Linked DNA regions of Drosophila melanogaster. Changing the gene in region 1 together with any one later gene gives a genetic interaction. Each region holds a gene or a part of one and is shown in the gene's direction. Other genes may lie near its edges. The genes, in order: upd2, dome, ebd1 and N.

Region 1 (4,772 bases):
ATAGAACGTGATCCGGTCCCAAAAATGCGACTTCACAGTGAGTATGGATCGGTTTGGGTGCAAAGTCCCTGCGAAATTAGATCACCGCTTTCCCAGTTAGAAGATAACTTTCCCCGTTCATTTCGCAATTGTTTATAAAAAGATGATTTGCTAGCTGACTGGCTGGCTAGCTGGCTAACTGGCCCATTACGGAATACCTTCGATCGGTTCCCATGATTAATGCTGTGTGCTCAACTTGGCCAGCTTGCCAGTTTGCCTATTTGGCAGTGTGCTAGTGTACTAGTGCCTTTTGCTTTCTGGGCTTTCTGGGGTGAATCCCCTTTGCCGGATGGCGAGTGATCGAACTGTTAATAATCGGCTTCGACGCTAATGCCAATGCTAGTGAATGGCAAGGTGGAATGTGCGAAGGCGCGATGGTGTTACCTCCAAAAGGGGCTCAATTAAAGACAGGTTAATTATAAACCAAATTTATAAAAATAACAGCTTAATTTTGATACAACAATATGTATCATATGTAGATAGTTGTAAATGGTAGCAGTGAAATCCCACCATTCAGTTGGCATTTGCCAATCGATTCGTCAACTTGAAGCCCTTCCTCTTCCCGACTATCTAGATACCTCGCATGACCAAGTTCCATCCTCGAATGATAAGAACACTAGCAACTTTCGTTGGCCAAGATCGTAGAGCATTAATCATCGCATTGCGTTCAAGCAGAACTTTCCAATATCCCGATAACCGACCAATTAGTGTTTATGGCCTTGGCCAGCTGATCAACTTGGCCAACCGCAGCAACAGCAACAGCAACAGCAACAACAACAACTAGTACTATAGCAGCACGTGCCTTATCGCAGTCGCAGAACCGCCGACAGCTCAGTCGGCGTCGTTATCAAGTCGCTGACCTACGACAACAGAGACGCCGAACGGCTGGCTGGATTGTTATTGGTCGGTGCGGAGCGAGCGGTCTGCTGAGCGGCAAAACGAATTATTCAAAGGTCGAGCGCGCTGCTATGGGCGGTGGGCGGTGGGTGGGTACGCTGGCTACGTCACCGTTGGCCGCAGACTCCGACGCCGACGCGCAGAGCGTCTGGGTAGCGTCTGGTCTGGCCTGGTATGGTCGCGTCGGGTCGGATCGGGTCGGAAGTCGTGAATCGAAATCGAAATCCGAAATCCGAAAAAAAAACCCAAATACCTATGAGTAATCTTTCTGGTGAAATTCAGCCAAAAGGCGGCCGAGAGAGCGAGAGACGGCCGTCCAGTGCGACTGACTTTGAGAGCATGACAAATGCTCGAAAACCATATCAGAAAATTGCTCAAGGCCTCGAACGGGTCGGGCTGCTGTAATTGCACTCACTCACTCACTCACTCGCTCGTTCGCTCACTCGGGCGCTCTCGCTCGCACTCGCAGACGCGATCGATTGGGATTGGGAGATCGGCACGGAGAATGAGTCGAGCCGAGTCGAGTGGAAGTGGGAATGCGTGAGCGACGCCAGGCGGCTGGAGGCTTACAAATTTTCGAGCGCCGCTGCAGCCGCAGTCACTTAGCCATCAGCCGTCGAGCGGGAGAGACCGTGGAGCGATCAGCATCAGCAGCAGCAGCAGCAGCAGCAAGCGATTGTGATAGTTGGCCAGCCAGCTAGTCAGTCAGTTAGCCAGTTAGCCAAGTTAGCCAAGTTAGCCCAGTTAGTGTAGTGTTAGTGATAGGCGCAATGCCAGCCTTTACCTTAAACGGTACGCCCGCATTTCCACCAAACCACACACCCCACCGCCCACCACCCATTGCAAACTGATACGATGGCCAATCCACTAACGCATCCACCATCTCTACCACTTGCAGCCAGCCAACAGAGCCAAAGCAGCCGCAGCAGCAGGAGTGCACACAGCAGCTGGAGCTGCCACAGCCGGCAGGTGCTGCTAGTGATCATGATCCTGAGCGTCGTGATGCCATTCACCAAGGCGCGACACTTGCGCGACCAGGTGGCACTGGACTACGCCTACGACGAGGACAACTCCGGCCGATCTTCCTCGTCGTCATCGTCATCCTCATCATCGGGTGGCGACATCCTGCCCGCCTTCGATGTCAATCCGTATCGCGGTCTGGCCGATAGCTTCGGCGAGGGCAGCTACGACAGTGATATGAGTCTCAGCGAGAGTAGCTACGAGGAGATCGCCCAGGCGGCCATCCGGGCTGCCAGGCGGGAGATGCGCCGTCAGAGGACGCGACACGCGCGCAGCCACAACCTGCGACTCTTCTCCGGCAAATCAGAGATCCCGGAGTGGGAGAACCCGTGCGGAGGCACCTACACGCCCGACGAGAGCCTCAGCGATAGCAGCGCCAGCCAAGGACGAGTTATCAAGCGCAAGGTGAGCAGGGGATCCAAAATGTTATACATATAAATTTAAATGGGAGAGATGGTGACCTACCTCAATCTTGGCTATCACTTAGATTTGCTTCAGCACTTAAGGGCAATGGAGGAAAGCAACCTACACCAAGCTTTTCTTACATTGTTTGATAACAGTTTATATTTACATAGTCGCAACGCAGCTTCATAGATACTAAGATACATAGATACTTTTGTGCGTTGTGTGTCCTGTTAGCATCTTTAGCAGGACAGCTACTTAGGCAGTTAGTTGAACCCGAAACGTTCGAGAAATTCTGTCACACAGCCAATATGCATTACTCATCGATTTCCCCCGCTCTCCACTTGCAGCACCTCGAAAACTTGCGGAACATCACGATGAGCGAATACCAAGATATAACCCACCGCGCCACCCTGGAGTACGGCAATCTGCAGCACTGGCAGCGCGAGTACAAGTTCCTGCCGAACATGACGAGGCCCACAAGTGCGGTAAGTTGATACCGATGCAGACCGCGCCAAAGAGATCCATCCAAACCGAGGCGGTGAGACAGAGTGAAGCGGACCTGCTCCGCCCTGGGCGGCGCAGACCAGTTTCCCAGTCGGCCCGCCTCATTTGCATGCCCTTCCCAGCTGCGCAGCATCCACATGCAACAGTCACTGACGAGCACTCTTCTACTCAATTTACAGGTGAAGCTAAAGACTTGGTACCGCCACATGCAGACCTTCGTGGGCAGCTTCTCATATCTGGGACGGGCGCAGTACAAGTTCCGCAAGGATCAGCAGAAGAGCCTCAACGAGGCGGTCACCAAGGAGCTGCACGACCTGCTGGTCAGCGCGCGCTATATGCTCTGCGAGATCGAGTTGACCATAAACGCCTCCTATCCGAACAGCAATGGTGCGAAGCTGAGCCGCGTTAGCCGGCAGGCGATGGAGGAGCGTCTCAACTTTCACACGCCAGCCAACGGATCCATGGAGGCGGACCAGCGCGACCTGAAGGTCAGCAAGGAGCTGTACTTCCAGTATCTGAACAACGTGTGGAAGACCCTGCACCGTGTCCTGCGGCGACCGCGACGCAATAGTGCCGAGCGGCGACACCTGGCGGCGATTCACGGAACTGGTGCGAGCGGGCTGCGGGCGGGCAGCTCGGAAATGCTCGACGTGGGCTCCTCGAACGGATCCGGTGGCAGTTCCGGCTCCGATGGCGGATCCAATGAGTCTTGAGCCCTCGGCACCCAGCTCTGAGCCAGTTGAGCCGGCCAGCCGGGTCAACATCACGCCCTTCCAGTATTATAGCGAGTACTTACAGCTGCACATTCCAAAGCTTAGCAGCTTTCCAGCTCTGCAGCTTCCAAGCCAAATAGAGGACCACCCGACCAATCGAGCGGGCGAGAACGAAGAATTTTTGTCGAATGCCATTTAGACACGTACTTTTAGTATTTATTTATTTATTGAATATTGAGTATTGAATATTGAGTATTGAGTATTAGAGCGCCTTCCATTCCAGTTGCCAAACCAAGCCAATCTAATCCACTACATTTAAACCCATTTCCCATTTGCACTTCCATGCGGCCCAGTGCCAACTCGACTATTTATTTGCCATTTAGAATATGGACTCTTTTTTTTCTCTATGTGTAGTAACTTATTTATTTATTTATGTATATCAATATTGTATTTATACCTATTTATTTGTGCAACGGCGAGATAAACTCGCCAGCAAAAGCCCAACAAAAAACCCAGCCACAAACAAAAAAATGCTTAAATCTACTGTGATTTATTTTAAGTACTTTTTTTGAATAGTTCTTAGTGATTGTGAAAAAAAAAACACGAAGCGATTGTGAAAGAAAACGAAGCGTAGTATTGTACAGACATTCTTGTGCTTAGTTGTAAGTTTGTGCAAAATAAACTTAGACAAGACAAAAAACAAAATGGTTCAGATTCTTTTGGAACAGTATATAACTATTCTATAATTTATAGCGATTTATTACTTCCCTAATAGACAGATTTTTTAAATACAAACGGAACAAGTCTATGCCTGTTCTTTTTTTGCTGAGGTATTTATCTACACATTTATGAGTTAATGAGCCCCCCACTAAATAGCTTTTGATTACTCACTAACAAAGAGCTTTAACTTCGGCATGGCGAAATTGATATACCCTTGCAGACCAATTATATATGTACATATATATATGCTGTTCACTATAATATCAATTACGTGGACTTTAGCAAATTTAAGCATACTTAGATTCTGTTATTCAGATAGCTTAAAGACAAATTTGCAGAGAAAAGTAAGAGGATATGTTTTTGCTGAACTTTCTGATAAAATAATCTACTAAATAAACAGTGCACATTGTCAATGTAATTGAATAAAAACAATTTTCTGTGATTGATTGACAACTGAATGAATAGTACGCACAT
Region 2 (7,755 bases), 1.4 Mb from region 1:
CGGCGCCGGAGCCACCGACTGTTCCATTGGTTCCCGAATTGGCACCGCCCCATGGATTCGGCAGGGGATTGCGGTTCTCGGTGCCCTGCTGCGGGTTGTTGCCGGCTCCTGAACCGCCGCCGTCGACCAGGCCGGCAAAGGGGTTGCGACCAAAGGATTCCGTGGCCGCGTTCATCATTGGCTCCTGAATATCGCGGTAGATGCGCTGCAGGGCGCTATAGCCGCCCGGCACCGACTCCAGATTCGACATGGCGCGGTCGTGCGAACGCATCAGCTCCTGCAACATCGAGGGATTGCGGGCCAGCTCCATCGTCTGGCGCAGCAGGTCCGGATTGTTAAGCATATGCGAGATCTCGGGGTTGCGCTGCATCAGGTCATGCATTTGCGGATTGGACGTGATAAGCTGACGCATGGTATCCGGATTATTCATCATCTGCTGCACCATCGGGTTGTCCATCAGGGAGCGCAGCATGTCGCCATTGTTGAGCAGCTCGTTCTGCATGCGCGCCTGCAGATCCATGAACGTGTTCGATCCGGCTCCAAGTGCCTCCATTCCGGCCAGGCCACCGAATTGATTGAGGCCAAAGGGCGTTTGGCGCACGTCAGCCGGCTGTCGGGCCGGCTGCTCGTTGTTGCGCGTCGGCGCCTTAATCACCAGATGCACCGTCAGGTTGTCCTTGATGTTGTGCATCTGAAGGGTGTCCGTGTCCTTCATAATTTTGCCGGCAAAAATGAGCACGAGCTGCTCGGGCTCCGCCTCGAACTTTTGTGCAACCAGAATTTTGAACTGTGGGGCGAGAATGGTGTGATTGTTGTCATTATTATGTGCCCATGGTCTAGTTTCCCCTTTCAATTAAATGTTCGCTCCCATGCCTCTGCTTCAATTTATGTGTGTTAATGGGAAGAAGACCAATCACTGTGCAAAGTGCACTGTACCAGCTGCGCGTGTTGTGTGCGGCTTAGGCAAAGTGCACTGTACCGCGATTACGGGCACTAATTTCCCAATACTTTCGGGGGTGTGGGCAAAGAGCAGGGAGGGAGGGAGGTGGTCCATCGCTATGAATGGAAGGGTCCAGAAGGGTTTGGGGTACCAGCAACCAAGTCAGGCGGGTCACGTGCTCCGTACTCACATCTTTTATTCCAGAATCTTCGTCAACTTCGACCGTTTTCTTGTCCTTTGGCGTTTTTACAACCACGTTGATGCGCTTGCTGCCGCCTTCCGCCATTTCGATGGTGTATTTGCGGTGTTCTCGTTTAGCTTAATTTGCACCGATGTAGCTGGTTCTTTCGAGATGTTATCACGTCTGTAATTTAAATGTGTTCCGAATATATACGTGTTTTCACCCTAAATTATTTCCCATTTGATGAAAAGTAATTCGTCACTTTCTCACTCACACGGACACACACACACTCACGATGGATTTCGATTTTGACTCTTACACACGCCAGGGCTGACGTATCAACCACCAATCGATGAATCGATAGCGGCCAATTGAACGCTTTGAACGCGTCCAAAACCGCTGCCAAGTAGTTTGCTCTGCTTGAAAACGTATTCGGCAGAGGGCGTTCTAGAGATACAAGCAACGGGTGGCCTAGAATTCGAATTTCGGCTGAAATGCGATGTTTGGCACCTATCGCATTTAGTGGGGCCGTTCGTCGACAGGTAGCCCCAGTGATATCGCATATCGGACTGCGATAACTTTCGATAAGCGGTCACACTGCGGACAAGCAACTCGTCGACAACATATATCGTCAGCATCGCGAGCGGGGGCAGGGAGGAGAGCGATCGCCTTAGCCAACTGAGGATTCTGCATTTGCGAGAGAGCCAGAGACAAAACAGTAACACGGTACCACAGTTGCTCGAAGCGAGCAATTGGCATTGCAAGGCCCTGATAGCCCTATTCGTAATTTAGTCGTAGTGAAGCCCCGGACAAGAAGCCCACACCTGGGCAGTGAAATGTTTAAGAGCCACTTCCAGGAACGCAGCGTATAAACGGTTTCCGAGAACTGGCCACCAATACACAGCCAACAAGTGCGAGGCCAACAGCAAGGTGCTCTTGTGTGTGTGAGAGAGCGCCGTTTTGGTGTGCGCGCGTGTGTAAGAGCGAGAGAGAGACAGAAAGAGAGGAAAAGAGCTAAAGACAGAGAGACAGAGTGGGAGAGAGAGAGAGAGAGAGCCAGAGTAAACCTTAACAGCAAGGGAAGGAGGGGATTAGGATTAGGATTAGGATTGGGAGCAGAACCAGGACCAGGAAGATGGTGGCCCAGGAGCAGCTCGTCCTGCTGCTCATGCTGCTTGCCGGCTGCCGGGGTGGCGCCAACGCCATCTTGGATCCTGGCTGGGTGATTCCCTCCAAGGTGGAGCAGCTCATCGGCGGCGACTTTAATCTGAGCTGCACCCTCAACGAAGACTACTTTAACGGCAAGAGCGCCGAGGACTGCCCGGTGGAGAAGCTGTACTTTACAGGCGGCGGCCGCGTCTACCGCGATTCCAAGCACATCCGAATCCTGAACAACACCACCATCCTGTTTAGCGACACGAATGCCGTGGAGCAAGAGAACGACTACCACTGCATGTGCGACGAGTATGTGATCAACAAGTCAAAGGTCTACGTGGGCACCAGGCCGCTCCTGGTGCGCGACTTCAACTGCCTGGACTACGACTTCCAGTTTATGGTGTGCAACTTCACCCAGCCGCCCAACACGGTCATCACCAAGTACAACATCAGCTACAACACCAACAACGACTGGCGATATAGCAACACACTGGACTGCAACTTCGACTCGGCGCCAGTGGTCACCTGTAACCTAACCGACGACAACTACAAGCGCTTCAGCGAGACCTTCTACTTCCGACTGTCCATCTCCAATGCCCTGGGCCACGAGACGCAGCCGATCACGATCAATCACTTTGAGCGTCTGGTGCCGGCGCGACCTGGCCAGAACCTGACCCTGCTCAACAGGACCGAGAGCTCCGTGTGCCTGTCGTGGGAGATGCCCCGTCGGTCCAACTACAATCGCGGCCTGGTGTGGCAGGTGCGCGTCACGCCGCAAAACTTTGAGCCCATCACGCGGCCCAGCTGGCGAAACCACACGCTGACCATCAAGGACACGCTCTGCCTCACGGAGCTGCCCTTCGCCGGCTACAACTACACGCTCCGGGTGCGCGTGCGCGCCAACCAAAACAACACGCTCTGGAGCGAGCCCATGATTTATGCGTTCGCCACCGCTCCGGCGCCGCCGCGCCGCCCTCCTCGCGTCACCTACGGCAGCTTCTATGTCTACTCGTCGGAGAAGGCTATGCGCTTCTACTGGGAGCCCCTGGAGGAGCACGAGCTGAACGGACCGGACTTTCGGTACTCCATCAGCGAGTACCGCATCAACGGAACAGCAGTGTGAGTAGGAGGGGAACTGGGATGGTGGTTAGTACCTATATGTGAATATGAATATGCGCCGTAAGCTGCTTGGCAGCTAATTATTGGGGCATTGGCAAACCTGTCTCGAGTCACCGGAGAGATTCGCCGGAACGACGACTTCTTGCGAATACGTTAGGGCGAGCCACATAGAGCCATACGGCGTAGTATTTGCACAAGCACACACGCCGGGAGCCACATTTCCATTCAAGGGGTTCCGCTGAAAATGTTTATTTTTAACAATTCGTCCGAAGTGCCGATGTACATACATATGTACACACATGCACGCCAGTGGCGCGGCGAGGGCAGAAACACGTTCATTAATGGGAAGACGGCAGATGGGCGGCGGCATTCTGGGCGAATGCACTTCCACGGAAATCGGAGGAGGCAGACCCACCATTTCCCCCAGAATCGCCAGGAGTCTGTATACATAAGGTATACAGCAGACAACAGGCGTCTTCGGATTGCAAGGCGTGGCTGTAATCGTTGCCAAATCTTTGTCAACCATGGCAAAACTGAAGGGTTCTCCAGACGATTCTCTTGATCAGAAGACAGCAACATTCAATAGACGTGCTAAAAAAAAACACATATATATTTATAGTGTCAACCTACATGCGAACATTCATACATATATGGATGAATGATGTCTCTGGCATCCAAAGACTCGAGCAATACCAATCTTGGCTAGATAACAAGCCCAGCCGGTGACAATGGCAATTTCGAGGCCAAACATCTATGATATCAAAAGTTTTCTGACGACTTGCGATTACAATTTCGTGTGTAAACAAACACAACACAGTCTTCTCGTATTTTCATAGAATCATTCGAAAAGTGTTCAAAGGAAAACAAACAAATTGAGTTTGAAATTTGAAGAACAAAATATGGATTTATTCGAGAGCTATCTAGCGTAAAAAAAATGCTTCAAAATGCGCCAAGATTAATGAATATTTTCAGAGTATAAAACCCATTTGCTAGGCAATTTTTTTACCAAATTAGGTGTGATATTTTAGCCTTTTGCACATTAAATTACTTCGAAATTAACGCGTCGGCGTAGTGTTGTTTTTCTAAAAACCCTTTTCAAATATATGGTTCTAAAAATAAATTCATATAAATTTGATACGCAAAAGCAATTTGCACAGATTAAATACATGTGGGAAAATTATCGGTTCTTATCAAAAACGAAAAATAAATATTGAGTTCAAAACACAAATCCGAGCTTTTTCAAATCGTTTTCATTTTTTATATCAAAATTCAACGTCATTGGTTCGCATTTATTATTAAATACAAGCGAAGGAAAAAAAAGAGTCGATTAGTTATTGTGTTATCTACAAAAATTTTGTATTTTTGGGATTTTATAGATTTCGACTTTAAAATGTCCGCTCAGTTGTAAGCACTATATGCAAAGCAAATTTCAAATCCAGATTTTAAAAAGCGGATTCTCTTTGAAGTTTCAAAAGGGTTTTTTTACTAACAGACATTTTTGAACAATTTCTCCACTGGCTTAAGTAACGATAAGAATAAGATTATCTCTATACACAAACATATGTTCATTGGCAATATTTAAAAATATTTACGCCAATCTGGCTAATTAATTTTCCAATGAAATAAATATTGTTAAAATGCCGTAAAATGAGTTAGAAAAGTGAAAACAAAAGAAGGGATGGATCGAATTGGTTTCATGGAAATCTTGGGGTTGCAAAACGCAATTCCCATTTCAGTGGAATGATAGCTTTTGGAAAATTCCCTCAATAAATGACAACTTGCGTAGATAAATGCTCGTCTTTCCATGACAAATAGGATTGCGATTCCGAGAACTGCTGTTCCTTGGAATTAAATATTCTGAGTAAAGATTATACTGTTGTTTCAAAAATAAACCATACTTACATATACGTTGTGCAACAGTAACGATTTTACATCGGGTATTTTGGATCCACGTGATCCATGTGAACTCTCCCAAATGATCCTTACCCAGAAAAAAAATGTATTCCTAAGAATTGCGAGTGCCGTTTGACTGAAAATATAAAGAATTCAATGGATACTTTTGCTACCTTGCTAATCACTATATGTTTTTATTATTGTTTTTTTTTTTTTTTTGCTTGGTTTATCACATTAATATTTACCAAGAAAAATATAAATTTCGGTATAATATATACAATTATTGACCGCAGTTCAACTATTAAACCCAGCTTCGCTTGAATTATTAATCAGTATGTTTTGTTAATTTCATTGATATTATTTAATTGGAAAAAAGTTTCTTATCACAAATTACATAAACATTTTTTTTGTGAACCTAAACACAGATAGCAAAACAATGCTGTTCTCCGCCAACAGATGGCGCCCACGCGCACTTACATATTTGAAAAATTTGTTATGTGAGTACAGGGTAGCTGGTAGTCGAGACACTCTTCAATTGTCTAGTTTAGTAAGATGCATATCTTCATTACCATACATTAGCTAATATGATTATACCTCGACTCGTTCAGGGATCCTGGCCTCATCAAGGTGGAGTCCAACTCGGCGATGATCGATCACTGGAGCATGAGTGCCGTCCATCACTTCCTCATCCGCAGCAGCAATAGCCAGGGTCTGTCTGTGAACGCCACTCCGATGACGATCGGCCCCATTAGCAATCGGGACTTCAAGGTGCGCGAGCCCAGGAACATACGCAGCGTCTATCATCCGACCAACAAGAGCTACACGCTCAGCTGGGATCCGCCGAGCGATCAGCGGGAACTGCAGAACTACACCGTTTTCTGGTGCGTGCCCAAGCCGGGCCTGCAGTCGGAATGCGAGGGTTCGATACGCTTCGCGGAGGTCGCAAGCGGTCTGCATCACTTCACCACGTCACCGGACCAACTGCTCACGCTGCACATGGCCGTGTCGGCCAACTACCAATCGCATAATACGGGCCTACACTGGGCGATCTGCAGTAGCGACAAGAAGGACGATTTGGCCAAGATGGAGCCGTCGATCGATGTGGCCACCAGCACCTCACTGACGGTCAGTTGGTCGGAGCGCGTCTGCGCAGTGATCCTGGCCGGCTATAATCTGACCTACTGCCAGCGCTCGGCCGGCCGTCCGGACAATTGCACGACGGTGACCATCGATCGCTATACGAACAAGCACGTCATCCAGAATCTGGTGCCCTACACGGACTACAGTGTCAAGATGCTGATGTATTCGGACTCGCGGGTCAGCAAGTACAGCGACGAGCTGGTCAACCGCACCGGAGAGGCGGCGCCTAGCCAGCCGCGGGAGTTGCAGCTAATCCGCGTGACCAGCGACAGCGTGGAGCTCGCCTGGAAGCCACCGCTGCTGGCCAACGGCGTGGTGCGCGCCTACGAGGGCACCTTCCGCTCGCTACATGACAACGTGACCGATACATTCCGCGTAAGCGCCTCCGCCGACGAGCTGGTGAACAACGAGAAGCCCATCACCTACCGGCTGGGCAATCTCACCGCATTCACCAAGTACGAGATTAGCGTGCGTGCGCGGACCGTCTATCCATCGGAGCCCAGCAATGTGATCCTCTTCAGCACGGCCATCGGAGGTAAGTGCTATCGATGGTTTCGCTAGCATTGAAGCCAGTGTAAATAGGCAATGTATACTTATCCGTGTAATCCTTTGCGCAGTTCCCTCGCCGCCACAACTGTACGTGATCAACAATCCGGATCAGAGCTCACGTCTCGACTGGGAACCGCCAAGGACGCCGGCCGGACGCATTGATTTCTACGAGATCTCGCTGCGCGACAACAACGCCAGCTGCCTGACAAGCACCATTCTGCCGGGCAGGAACCTATCCTATGTGATGGCCACGCCGCGCTGCACCAGCCACAATCCCTTCCAGCTAGCGGTGCGTGCCATCAACGTGGAGCAGCATCCGCAGTTGAACGGAGCGGATGCAGCGGAAGGTGCCGTTTTGCTTATGTCGACCAACGGCAAGGGATGCGAGGCACGCACCGATGCGCTCGGCGAAGAGGAGCGGCTGCAGTTCGAGGCCTACGCTGCCAACATGACCGCCTACCGGCTCTACAGATCCGATTGGGGCATCTACGGATTCATCTGTACACCGGACACGCACAGCGTGAAGGCCATGTACCAGACCATTGAGGTGACCGTGGCGATTCTCGTGCTGGGCGTCATCTTCTACCTCGTGTACAAGAAATACCGCAAGATGTCCGATATCGGTCTAGTGCTGCCGCAGGGAATCATGGAGACCATGAAGAAGCCCATAGACATGGGTGGCCTGGGATTGGGCCTGGGTCCAGACTCGTCCGTCAGCGGAGGCATCGTGTGCACACGGGTGGACGACTCGCCGCCATACACGCCGCAGGATCTGCCG
Region 3 (4,713 bases), on another chromosome or scaffold:
AAGCAGATCGCCCTGGATCTCGTTGAGCTGATGAAGGGCTTCTACACAAACCACCCGGAATTCAAGACTGTGCCGCTGCACATCTTCTGCGAGAGTTATGGCGGAAAGATGGCCCCGGAGTTCGCTTTGGAGTTGGATTACGCCATCAAGCGCGGTGAGATCGAGAGCAACTTTGTTTCGGTGGCCTTGGGAGATCCCTGGACCTCACCCATAGACTCTGTGCTCTCGTGGGCTCCCTTCCTGCTGCAGTTGGGAATCGTGGATCAGGATGGCCATGACAAGATTGAAGCTTCGGCCCTGAAGACTAAGGACTATGTTGACCGCGAGAAGTGGACACAGGCCACTTTGCAGTGGAGCTCCACCCAGTCAGTGGTGCTGCGCGAGTCCAAGGGAGTGGACTTCTATAACGTGGAGACCCCAACATTGGGTGATCAGTACAGGTTGATGTCCAGAGCTGCCATGACTCCGGAGGGTAAGATCCGTTGCGTAACTTACCGAGCTGATTCTCATCAACCACTTATCCAGAGGTCATGTATCGCACCCTCGTGAAATTCGATGTGGATGAGGACCGCGACAAATTGCTGGAGGATCTAATGCTTGGACCCGTGACCGAGGCCCTCGGAATCAACACCGGAGTGAAATGGGGCGCCCAGAGCGGCACCACCTTCACCAAGCTGATGGGCGATTTCATGAAGCCAGCTGTGGATGTTGGTATGTTTCAACCGTCTGGGTGCTACCTCAAATTATAGCCTTATGACACTTTTAGTGGGTGAACTGCTGAACAACACCACCGTAAAAGTGGGCGTGTTCTCCGGAGGACTGGACCTGATTTGCGCCACTCCGGGAGCCGTCAACTGGATCGAAGCAATGGAATGGTCCGCCAAGCCATCTTACCAGGTCTCTCCGCGCGTGGGAATCACCGTAGATCGAGTTCTCGAGGGTTACGAGAAGACCTATGGCAACTTCAGCATGTTTTGGGTCAACCGGGCTGGTCACATGGTTCCTGCCGATAATCCCGCGGCCATGTCGCACATCCTGCGACACTTCACCAAATTCGGTTAAACAAATTAGCCGGAGAAAAGCGTTAAAATAAAGATTATTTTCGAAATGTATGGACTCGTGGGTTTCCAATTGGTGGTGGTTCGATTAATTTAAATTAAATATTGATTACAATTCGCAAAGACTTTATAGTTATATTTTACAGTGCAGTTAGTTGCAGATCTTGTGAAATCAATTCATTCTTAAACTGAAAACAAAATACATACATACATATGTATGTTCTCATTAATCTTACTCTACTTAAAAAGCGATCGCCTGCAGAGTTGCCACATGGCGAAAGTAACAGTAAAGTTGTCGCATGCGCAGTTGCACCCTCTCAGCTGGTCACACGCACACACACTCTCGCACACGCCGACTTCCCTTCCGTTCTAGTTGCCCACGTTGCGCATGCGAGAGCGAGAGAGGGAGCGAGCAGAGAATGAAAACTGCGCGAGATAACGCGGCAGCTATTTTTGTATGGGTCGTCGTCTAGTTCGCACGGACATCGGAAAATACGCAAGGTGCAGCGCACGGCCAGTTGGAAAATCACAATCAGAAGACAAATCGAGTGCCTAGGAAGAGAAAACGAAAGCGAATAGAGCCAAAGCGCATTGAAAGGCCAAAGAAAAGCGAGAAAAGCAGTGACGAAATGATTTGAATTCGCTTGACAGTCAACGCGCATAATCGTAGCCATCGCACACACACAGCCGCACGGACACACACACACAGGCGGGCGGGTGTGTGAGTGAGAGAGCAGAAAGGGTGCAAGGGGTGGGCGAAATTGAGTGGGCGCAGCAGCAGCAACAAAAACAAACAAGACGAAAACAAACGGCAATTGCCGTGTAAATTGCACGGAAAGCACAAACAATGCGGATACGCGAAAAACGCAAGTTGCAGAGGGAGCTGAGGGTGGAGAAGCGCGTGGAGAGGGAGAAAAAGGAGCACAAGGAGGCCTCCAAGACGCAGGACAACAACAACAAGGCGAAGGTAAGTGGCCACAGTCAAGCCTCGCAAAGTGTTTCCACCCCATTTCACTTCTCAAAGAACACGAGTGTAAATGACTTGATCTAGGCGTTTATTTGTATATAAGCTTGAATGAGTATGAGTATAAAAGCCCCATGTATTCCTTGAAACTTCGTCTTTCTTAACTGTTGCTTTTGTTAACATAACTAAATATGCAAAGACCTTCTGTTGTTTTGTCTACATTATTCATGTTCAGAGGGAGCACTGTATCTCTACATTCATGGTGGCATTACTTTGCACGATTTCAACTGTTACCATAAAACCCGGTAATAACAGCACTTTTTTTCCCTTCGTCGTTAGGCCACTGACACGGAGGTTCTCACACCAGCTCCTGCGCCTGCGCCTGCTCCACCAGCAGCACCCACTTCGACTGCATCACCCACACCCACTAGCACGCACACCCCCAGCCTGCCGGCCGCCGAGAAGGTGGCCTTCGACAATCGCATCAAGCGCAAGAATGTCCTGGCCCTCAACGAAAAGGTTGCTGCTCTGCGGGAATACGATCGGCTGCCGGTTTATAAGCACGTTGGCCGGCTGTTCAACTGCAGCCCAGATCAGATCAAGCGGATCGTGCAGCAGCGCGCTGAGATTCTGAACGCGTGGGATCAGCGAACCCGCAGGAGCCAGGACGCCAAGACCATGGAGACGAAGACCGTCAGGGTCTCGATGTTGGGCAAGGCCGTGTACGATTGGATACGCCGCATGATGTACTACAAGGACTTCAGCATCTCCGACGGACTCATCCAGAAGATGGCGCTGCAGTTCAAGAGCTCCATGAACCTGGCACATTTCTTTCCGCACCAGGAGTGGTGCGACAAGTTCAGACGCACCTACAGCATCCAACACAGCGACACCAGACTGTTGAAGATAGGCTACACGCAGGGCTACTCGGTGCAGATCAAGGACATCGTCAAGGACGTCATGTCGGAAAGCATGCCGGAAAGTGGGCCACGGAACGGCGAGGAGGATGACGAAGAGGTCAGCTTGGGCAGCCCGGTGAGCAGCCATCCCCGCAGCTATGTAGAAGACGAGGATGACGAGGTGGATGTCGACGGTGGCGGTATTAGCGGCGAGGATGATCTGGAGGAGGAGCCTGATGTCAAGCCCTCACTAAGCGAACTAAATTTTGCCAGGGCTCTGAAGCCCTTGCCGCCTCTAGTTAGACTGCCCCTCCAAGCTAACACACCGCCAGGCACCACTCAAAAAGTTCTCCTGGCCACACCCATTGTTCCGACGCAAGCGGGCGGACAGCCCATGACCATGACCATCATACCACTAGCCACGCTCGCTCAGAGCATCACCAAGATTCCTGCCCCACAGCAGCAGGACAAAGGACCGGTGGTACCGCCGCCCAAACTAGAGATCAAGCAGGAAAAGGAAATCAAAGTGGAGCCCAAGGACCCGGAAGAGCTCCTGGCGAAGCAGCCCGAGGCGGAGCTCCAGGAGAACGATGACCGAGCACAAAGGGAAAAGGATCTTGAAATTCCGCCTACAGTGCACATAAAAGTGGAGCCAGAGGCTGAGCTGGAATCGGAACTGGACCAAGACCCAGCGGATCTCGATGAAGACGCGAACAATGGTCGCTCCAGTGTCACCTCGCTGGCCGAGGTTCTGGCGGCCAATGTGGAGGACGAGATGGAGTACATCGAGCAGATGCGGCAGCGAAAGGTGAGTTCGCCTGCGGCAGTTGAAAACTCGCTGAATCCTCGCCAGGGCACCAAACGTCGCTATGAGTCCGCCCAAGACGATAACAACAATGGGGGATCCGGCCAAGAAAGTGGGTCCAGTGTCATCAGCTGCGCCGATGCACGCAAGTACCTAAAGCTACTCGAGGAGTTTGCTCTGTACAAGGAGAACTACCGGCTGATTGAGCTGATCACACGAGCCGATGAAGTGATGCGCGAAATGGATGACAATGTGCCGTAGAATGCTCCAAACAGTGAGCGCCACATGAAGGAGAACGAAGAGGAGGAGGAATAGCTGCAGCCAAAGAGTGTAATCTTTGCAAACTGATGCATCTAGAAGATGCACATCGGTCGGATGCAATCAATCATTAGATCTAAGGTGAACATAATTTGTATTCGAACCAAATAAACGCAATCAAACCAAGTTTCTAGTGAGTAAATTTGATGTGGTTATAAAATATTGTGATGAATGAGCTAATGTCAATTGTCAATTGGTCTGTTGGAACTATTTTATACTATGCTCCCGACTGTAACCCTATTATTTTGACCTGTGTTGTATGTTATAACAGCTACATTTCCTTCCACACATTCTCGCCAGAACAAAAAGTCGGCTAAATATACGCGCTAATTGTTTTTTTTTCGAAGTGCGCATGTCTGCCCTTAGTTGGGCTTCTTCTTCTTTTTTTGCCGGGCGGGAGGTCACCCACACACACACACACAGGCGAGCCAGAAGAGAGAAAGAGACAAAGCGCATGTAAATGAAAATAACGGAACAAAGAGGTCAATCATTGAATTCTATCTTGTTAAAGAGAGAATTTCCCTGATTCAGAGTGTATTTTAAAATTTTCCCTGATCAGTGTGAAATTTTGGAGAGCGAGTTAAAATAAATTCATACTTTGCTGATGATTTCCTTATGCCGACAATCTTGATTGGGGCTAAGATGGGTAAGTGCGCAGGTCTGCCCTTA
Region 4 (4,776 bases), about 15 Mb from region 1:
TATAAAAGCAAACGAAAATGAAAAGTAAAGCAGCAGCAGCAGAAAGCAAAAACAATTTTCTAAGCCAAAATTTATCAAATTTTTTAGACTTAATTACGTATACATCAAACGAAACCAACTGAATGCAGTGAGAGAAAATATTTAGATTAAGTGCTGTGCTGCATCTGTGACCCGGTCAAGAAGAGCCAAAAGTAACATATATAACTATTATTTTGCACACAAACAAACAAAATTGAAATTGAATTGAAAACTATATTTTTACGGGATGCTACAGTATTATTGCAATTTAATCGATAATCCCCAAGCCGCAAAAAACTAAAAACAAAAAGATGTCCAAATATTGGTGATTTACGAGTAAAGTGAATAAAATTAGAAAAACCACCAACATATATATATATATATATATATATAGTTCCCACTTTCCAACTTTTTGATCGGGTTTTCAGTGGCACAGCATTTCAGCATCCATGTGAAAAGTTGAATATTTTTTTGTCTAGCCCTAAGCGCGTAAATGATATTTGAACTTAAATCAATTATGTAAAGAAGCAAATGAAATATTGTATATCGTATATATATATATATATATATATATATAGAGCATAAATGTGTATGTCAACGCTTGAATTAAAAAATGACTAGCTAAGATTAGAGAGAATGTTTGTAATTTTTTTTTTTTGTCTGCCTAGTTTAGGTTTAAGCCTATTTATAGACGTAAATGAAGAATTTTAAAGGTAAAAAGAAAAACTTAAAAAGCTTAGAAACAATTTGTAAAACATTTGAGCGATCTACCAAAAAAAAAAAAAACGCAATTAAGTGTAAAGCGTTCAATTTTTAACACGAAATGCTGCCTTATGATTCCTCGTTGGGTTCTTAATTCACTAAGCCAATACTGTAATTAATTAACTAATTTATTGTTTCATATTTTATTTTTTGTTTCTTTCGAGAATATACATATGTATGTATTTATCTAAAGTAATTCTGAAAATGCTTAAAAATAATGCCCGTTCGTTTAAACTGATTTATACACTCGAATCTAATTCTATTCTTTCCGTGGGCCAATTGCGCCGAGCTTTTTAACTGGGATAGCGTTCCGAAAATCGGAGATAAGTATGGTGTTACATATTTTTTTTTGTTTTCGATAATTGTCAAACGATTCAATTAAGCGTTCAATTATATAGACGTTACACACGAAACGAAATGAAATTCAAATGAAATCCTATTAAGCCAAGTAAAGTATGATAATTGCAGGAAGCGGAGTTGCGAAAAAAAAAGGTACGGAAAATGAAAACTAAGAACGTATTGCGGGAAAACCTAACTTAAGTCGAGAACAACTCAAATTAGTTGAAATAAAGATACGAGAACAAAAGGAAAATAAAATACTTAAAAAATGCTACAAGTGCGTTTTTCAATCAAATTTATGCACATTTTTTTCCAGTGCCTACGAATTTTACATTGTCGAATTTTACATTATACATAGCGTAATTTCTACGAATCTTACATTGTCGAATTTTACATTTTACATAGCGTAATTTCTACATACCGCTATGACGGCACTAAAGCGCCATTCGGCGAAATGGGGAAACTACTCATGCAAGCGGCTCGGAGCCCGGCTAACGTTATTTGTTCACCAACCGATCTCGCAACGCTGCGAAAGAGCGCGCTGCCAAAATGGCTCCCCGCCATACGGTATCTTTTTCTTGCACCGACGCGGTCACACTGCCGATTTGAAACAGATCGCTTTTTTCCAGTGGACGAAACGGTTGTGAAAGCGGACGAGCGTTAGGCAGACGAACCTGGAAAGCGCAGAGCACAGTTCTCAACATTTATTTTTTTTTTGAATGTGTGTGCAACAACGCACGTAAAATCGCGCTGCCAACAGGATATACAAACAAATCAATTACACAGCAAGCAAATGCAATGAAATGAAAAGGATGGCCCCAGCGGGAAAGCCGTTCAGCAAGAGCAAGGAGTGCCTGTCGCAGGGATAGCAACGAGAGAGCGACACAGAGAGCGAGAGAGAGAGAGGGAGAGAAACAAGGATTTTCGAAAAGTGTATCTACCTCGAGTCGCGCGTGTGTGAGAGTGAGACGAAAGCCGAGTGCAAGAAGCGCAAGAGGAAGAGAGCAATACGCAAGCGTGCGGCGTCGGTTTGAATTTGAATTTGTGGCTCGATCCTCGCGAAGAGAAAAGCAAGCAAAAGATACACGAAAAGCGTTCTTTTTTTGCCACTTTTTTTTTATGTTTCAAAACGGAAAATGTCGCCGTCGTCGGGAGAGTGCCTCCTCTTAGTTTATCAAATAAAGCTTTAAAGTCTGAAGTTCAAAACTATAAAAAACAAAAAAAAAAACAAAAAAACAACAAACGCGCTAAAACAAAAAATTGCTTAAACTACTGAGACTAGCATACTAAACCTAAACTCGCAGTTAAACATATCCTCAAAGAGAGACCAAAGAGGAGCGCTAAAGAAACCGAGAAGCGAGTAGAGGTGAAAAACTGGAAAAGTGGTTAACTGGAAAACTGGATTACAATGCAATCGCAGCGCAGCCGACGTCGCAGTCGCGCACCAAACACTTGGATTTGTTTTTGGATTAACAAAATGCACGCCGTTGCGTCGCTGCCGGCGTCGCTGCCTCTGCTGCTGTTGACGCTGGCGTTTGCGAATTTGCCAAACACCGTTCGCGGAACTGGTGAGTAAAGCGGAGACGCCGATCAGAACAACTAGGCGGGGGGAGGGCAGGGTGACAGGCGGGGTCGCCCGAAAATAGGGTGGGTGCACAAACTGGAATTCCAGGAGGCTCAAAACGTTCCAAAACGCTTGCCAAAGAACGGTTTTTTACAGAACCAAAACTATGAGATAAGATGATCTTGTATAGCTGAAAGATGTGGATCTCAACTAATAGTACTGAATCGCATAATTGTTTGGTCTTAGATGTCAGTTTTAAATGGAGCATACTTAGTATGAAACAACTAAAATTGCAATTACAAAATATACATACATTTGCATTGGACTAGTTCCGCTTAAACCCGTTGGATAGATCGCTACATTGCATAGCTAGGAAATGTTGGTCTATAAAATCGGATGCATTCGCAACACATATAAGTGACTGAGCAAACCCATGCAACTGTAATCCAAAAAGGAAGTGATGCTACTTAATCTGCTTAATAAGCCTATAGGATTGTTGCAAATCCTACCTTAAAGAATTTCACTTTAAACGCAATCGTCGGAATCCGCTCCCAAATGCGTTCTCTGTGTTTCTCCATTCCCTTTTCGATCCTCTTCGTTTGTCTCCCTTTTGGGCAGCTCCTCTTCGCTCTTCGCCTTCCTTTTCATGGCTTGTATTCACCGCGCTTCCTTTTGCGCTGTCTTCCTTGGCTTCGCTTTGTTGTCGCTTTTCGGACAGGTGGTCGTTTTTTTTTCCTCTCTCTTTCTCTCTCTCTCTCTCCTTGTTGTCTCGCTGATCTCGTTCTCGCTCTCGCTCGATCGCTGTCGCTGTCTCGCTCTCCGCCGACTGCGCATGCTCTCTCAGATTTGGAAACCCACCTTTTCGAAACAAGAAAGACCGTTTTTACCGTCGGCAAAAGGCGAGTTTTTCCATTCCCCTAGCACTCTAGGCACTCTTTCCTTTGTGTTTTCTCACTGCGCTATTTGCTCGCTAGTAGTGAGTGGCCAACTTCCTTTCCAGCTTTGGAAGCGAACTCTCCTCCTCCACACGCTGTGTTGTGCCGCATGCACATGGGGCTTACTTGGGTATTTGCATATGGAGCGGTCGTTGTCTAATCACTGAACAAACACCGAATCGTATCGGATCGGATCGGATCGGTTGTAGGTGTACTTAGGGTCGATTGCCCCAGTAAAATGTCAACTTTCCATGGAACTCGAAATCTCTTCGACGGAATTCTCGGCTCAACGATGAGAAAGTATGGGGAATGCAGCTCGATATCATAGTATTTTGAAACAAATTTGATAATGTCAGAGAATTTTTTGTTGTTTCATTATTCGAAAATCTATCGAAATCCATCAATCCATCAAACGTTTAAAAGCAATTAAATGATCATTACTAGAAATTTGATCCCTGAGCACTGGGCAACTTTATTATTACGCACTCCATGATCTCTGCTATTTTTTTTATATTTTTTAACAGCTGCAACCGAAGAGCGTTGAACTATTATGTTTATAACTTTTACCTGGGCATTTCCTGAGCTCGAGTTTCCGCCTCCTAAACTCTTTTTTTTTCTGGCTTTATTAGCCATGGGTAATCGTGTGATCTTTGCAGTTTTAGCCAAAGGAAGTTGTAGTAAAAGTTAAATAAACGGTATAAAAAAGTATACAAATGCATATGCATATAAAGGTGAAAAAAATGCTGAAAGTAGTAATAATAAGAGTGTTAATTGATGCCAGGATATATTGCAAAAACAAAAAGGGCATCCTTTGCATTCAGTTCACTTCATTCTACTACTGCGCTAAGAAAAAAGTGTTCGAAGATGGAAAAAAAAAACCAAAAAAAAAAACAAAAATCTCTCGAATCTTCATGTACATTTTTGTACCTATTAAGTTCTCACAAATTTACGCCCCATTAGCTCCAATCCAAGTTTGTTCAACTTTGTGCGATCGAACGCCTGCATTTAGCCACAAATTTAGGGTATTATTTTTTTGCAGGTTTAATGTGGCACGTAACGGTTTCGAGAAACGAGAACCAGAACCAACCACCGCATTCGATTTCATCATATATGTACACAACCAGGCGCATATAGAAAGAATGTAGTTGGAATAAACGA

The links.
Region 2: of upd2 (region 1) and dome, changing one suppresses a phenotype caused by changing the other (phenotypic suppression), as found in Drosophila melanogaster (one study listed by BioGRID).
Region 3: of upd2 (region 1) and ebd1, changing one suppresses a phenotype caused by changing the other (phenotypic suppression), as found in Drosophila melanogaster (one study listed by BioGRID).
Region 4: of upd2 (region 1) and N, changing one suppresses a phenotype caused by changing the other (phenotypic suppression), as found in Drosophila melanogaster (2 studies listed by BioGRID).

What each region holds. Positions count from the first base shown.
Region 1 is NC_004354.4:18,240,154-18,244,925, reverse strand, and holds upd2 (unpaired 2), read left to right. Parts: upstream 1-1,641; 5' UTR 1,642-1,706; coding exon 1,707-1,728; intron 1,729-1,834; coding exon 1,835-2,361; intron 2,362-2,708; coding exon 2,709-2,846; intron 2,847-3,044; coding exon 3,045-3,578; 3' UTR 3,579-4,272; downstream 4,273-4,772.
Region 2 is NC_004354.4:19,677,472-19,685,226, reverse strand, and holds the start of dome (domeless), read left to right. Parts: upstream 1-1,708; 5' UTR 1,709-2,256; coding exon 2,257-3,395; intron 3,396-5,896; coding exon 5,897-6,963; intron 6,964-7,045; coding exon 7,046-7,755. Other genes in the region: Ubqn (ubiquilin), read right to left, coding at 1-787, 1,131-1,226. UniProt on the Drosophila melanogaster protein: Critical for epithelial morphogenesis during oogenesis; border cell migration. Required in the germarium for the polarization of follicle cells during encapsulation of germline cells. Required for embryonic segmentation and trachea specification.
Region 3 is NT_037436.4:682,340-687,052, reverse strand, and holds ebd1 (earthbound 1), read left to right. Parts: upstream 1-1,503; 5' UTR 1,504-1,905; coding exon 1,906-2,025; intron 2,026-2,361; coding exon 2,362-3,987; 3' UTR 3,988-4,168; downstream 4,169-4,713. Other genes in the region: hiro (highroad), read left to right, coding at 1-472, 526-711, 767-1,062.
Region 4 is NC_004354.4:3,133,141-3,137,916, forward strand, and holds the start of N (notch), read left to right. Parts: upstream 1-1,729; 5' UTR 1,730-2,527; coding exon 2,528-2,687; intron 2,688-4,776. UniProt on the Drosophila melanogaster protein: Essential signaling protein which has a major role in many developmental processes. Functions as a receptor for membrane-bound ligands Delta and Serrate to regulate cell-fate determination.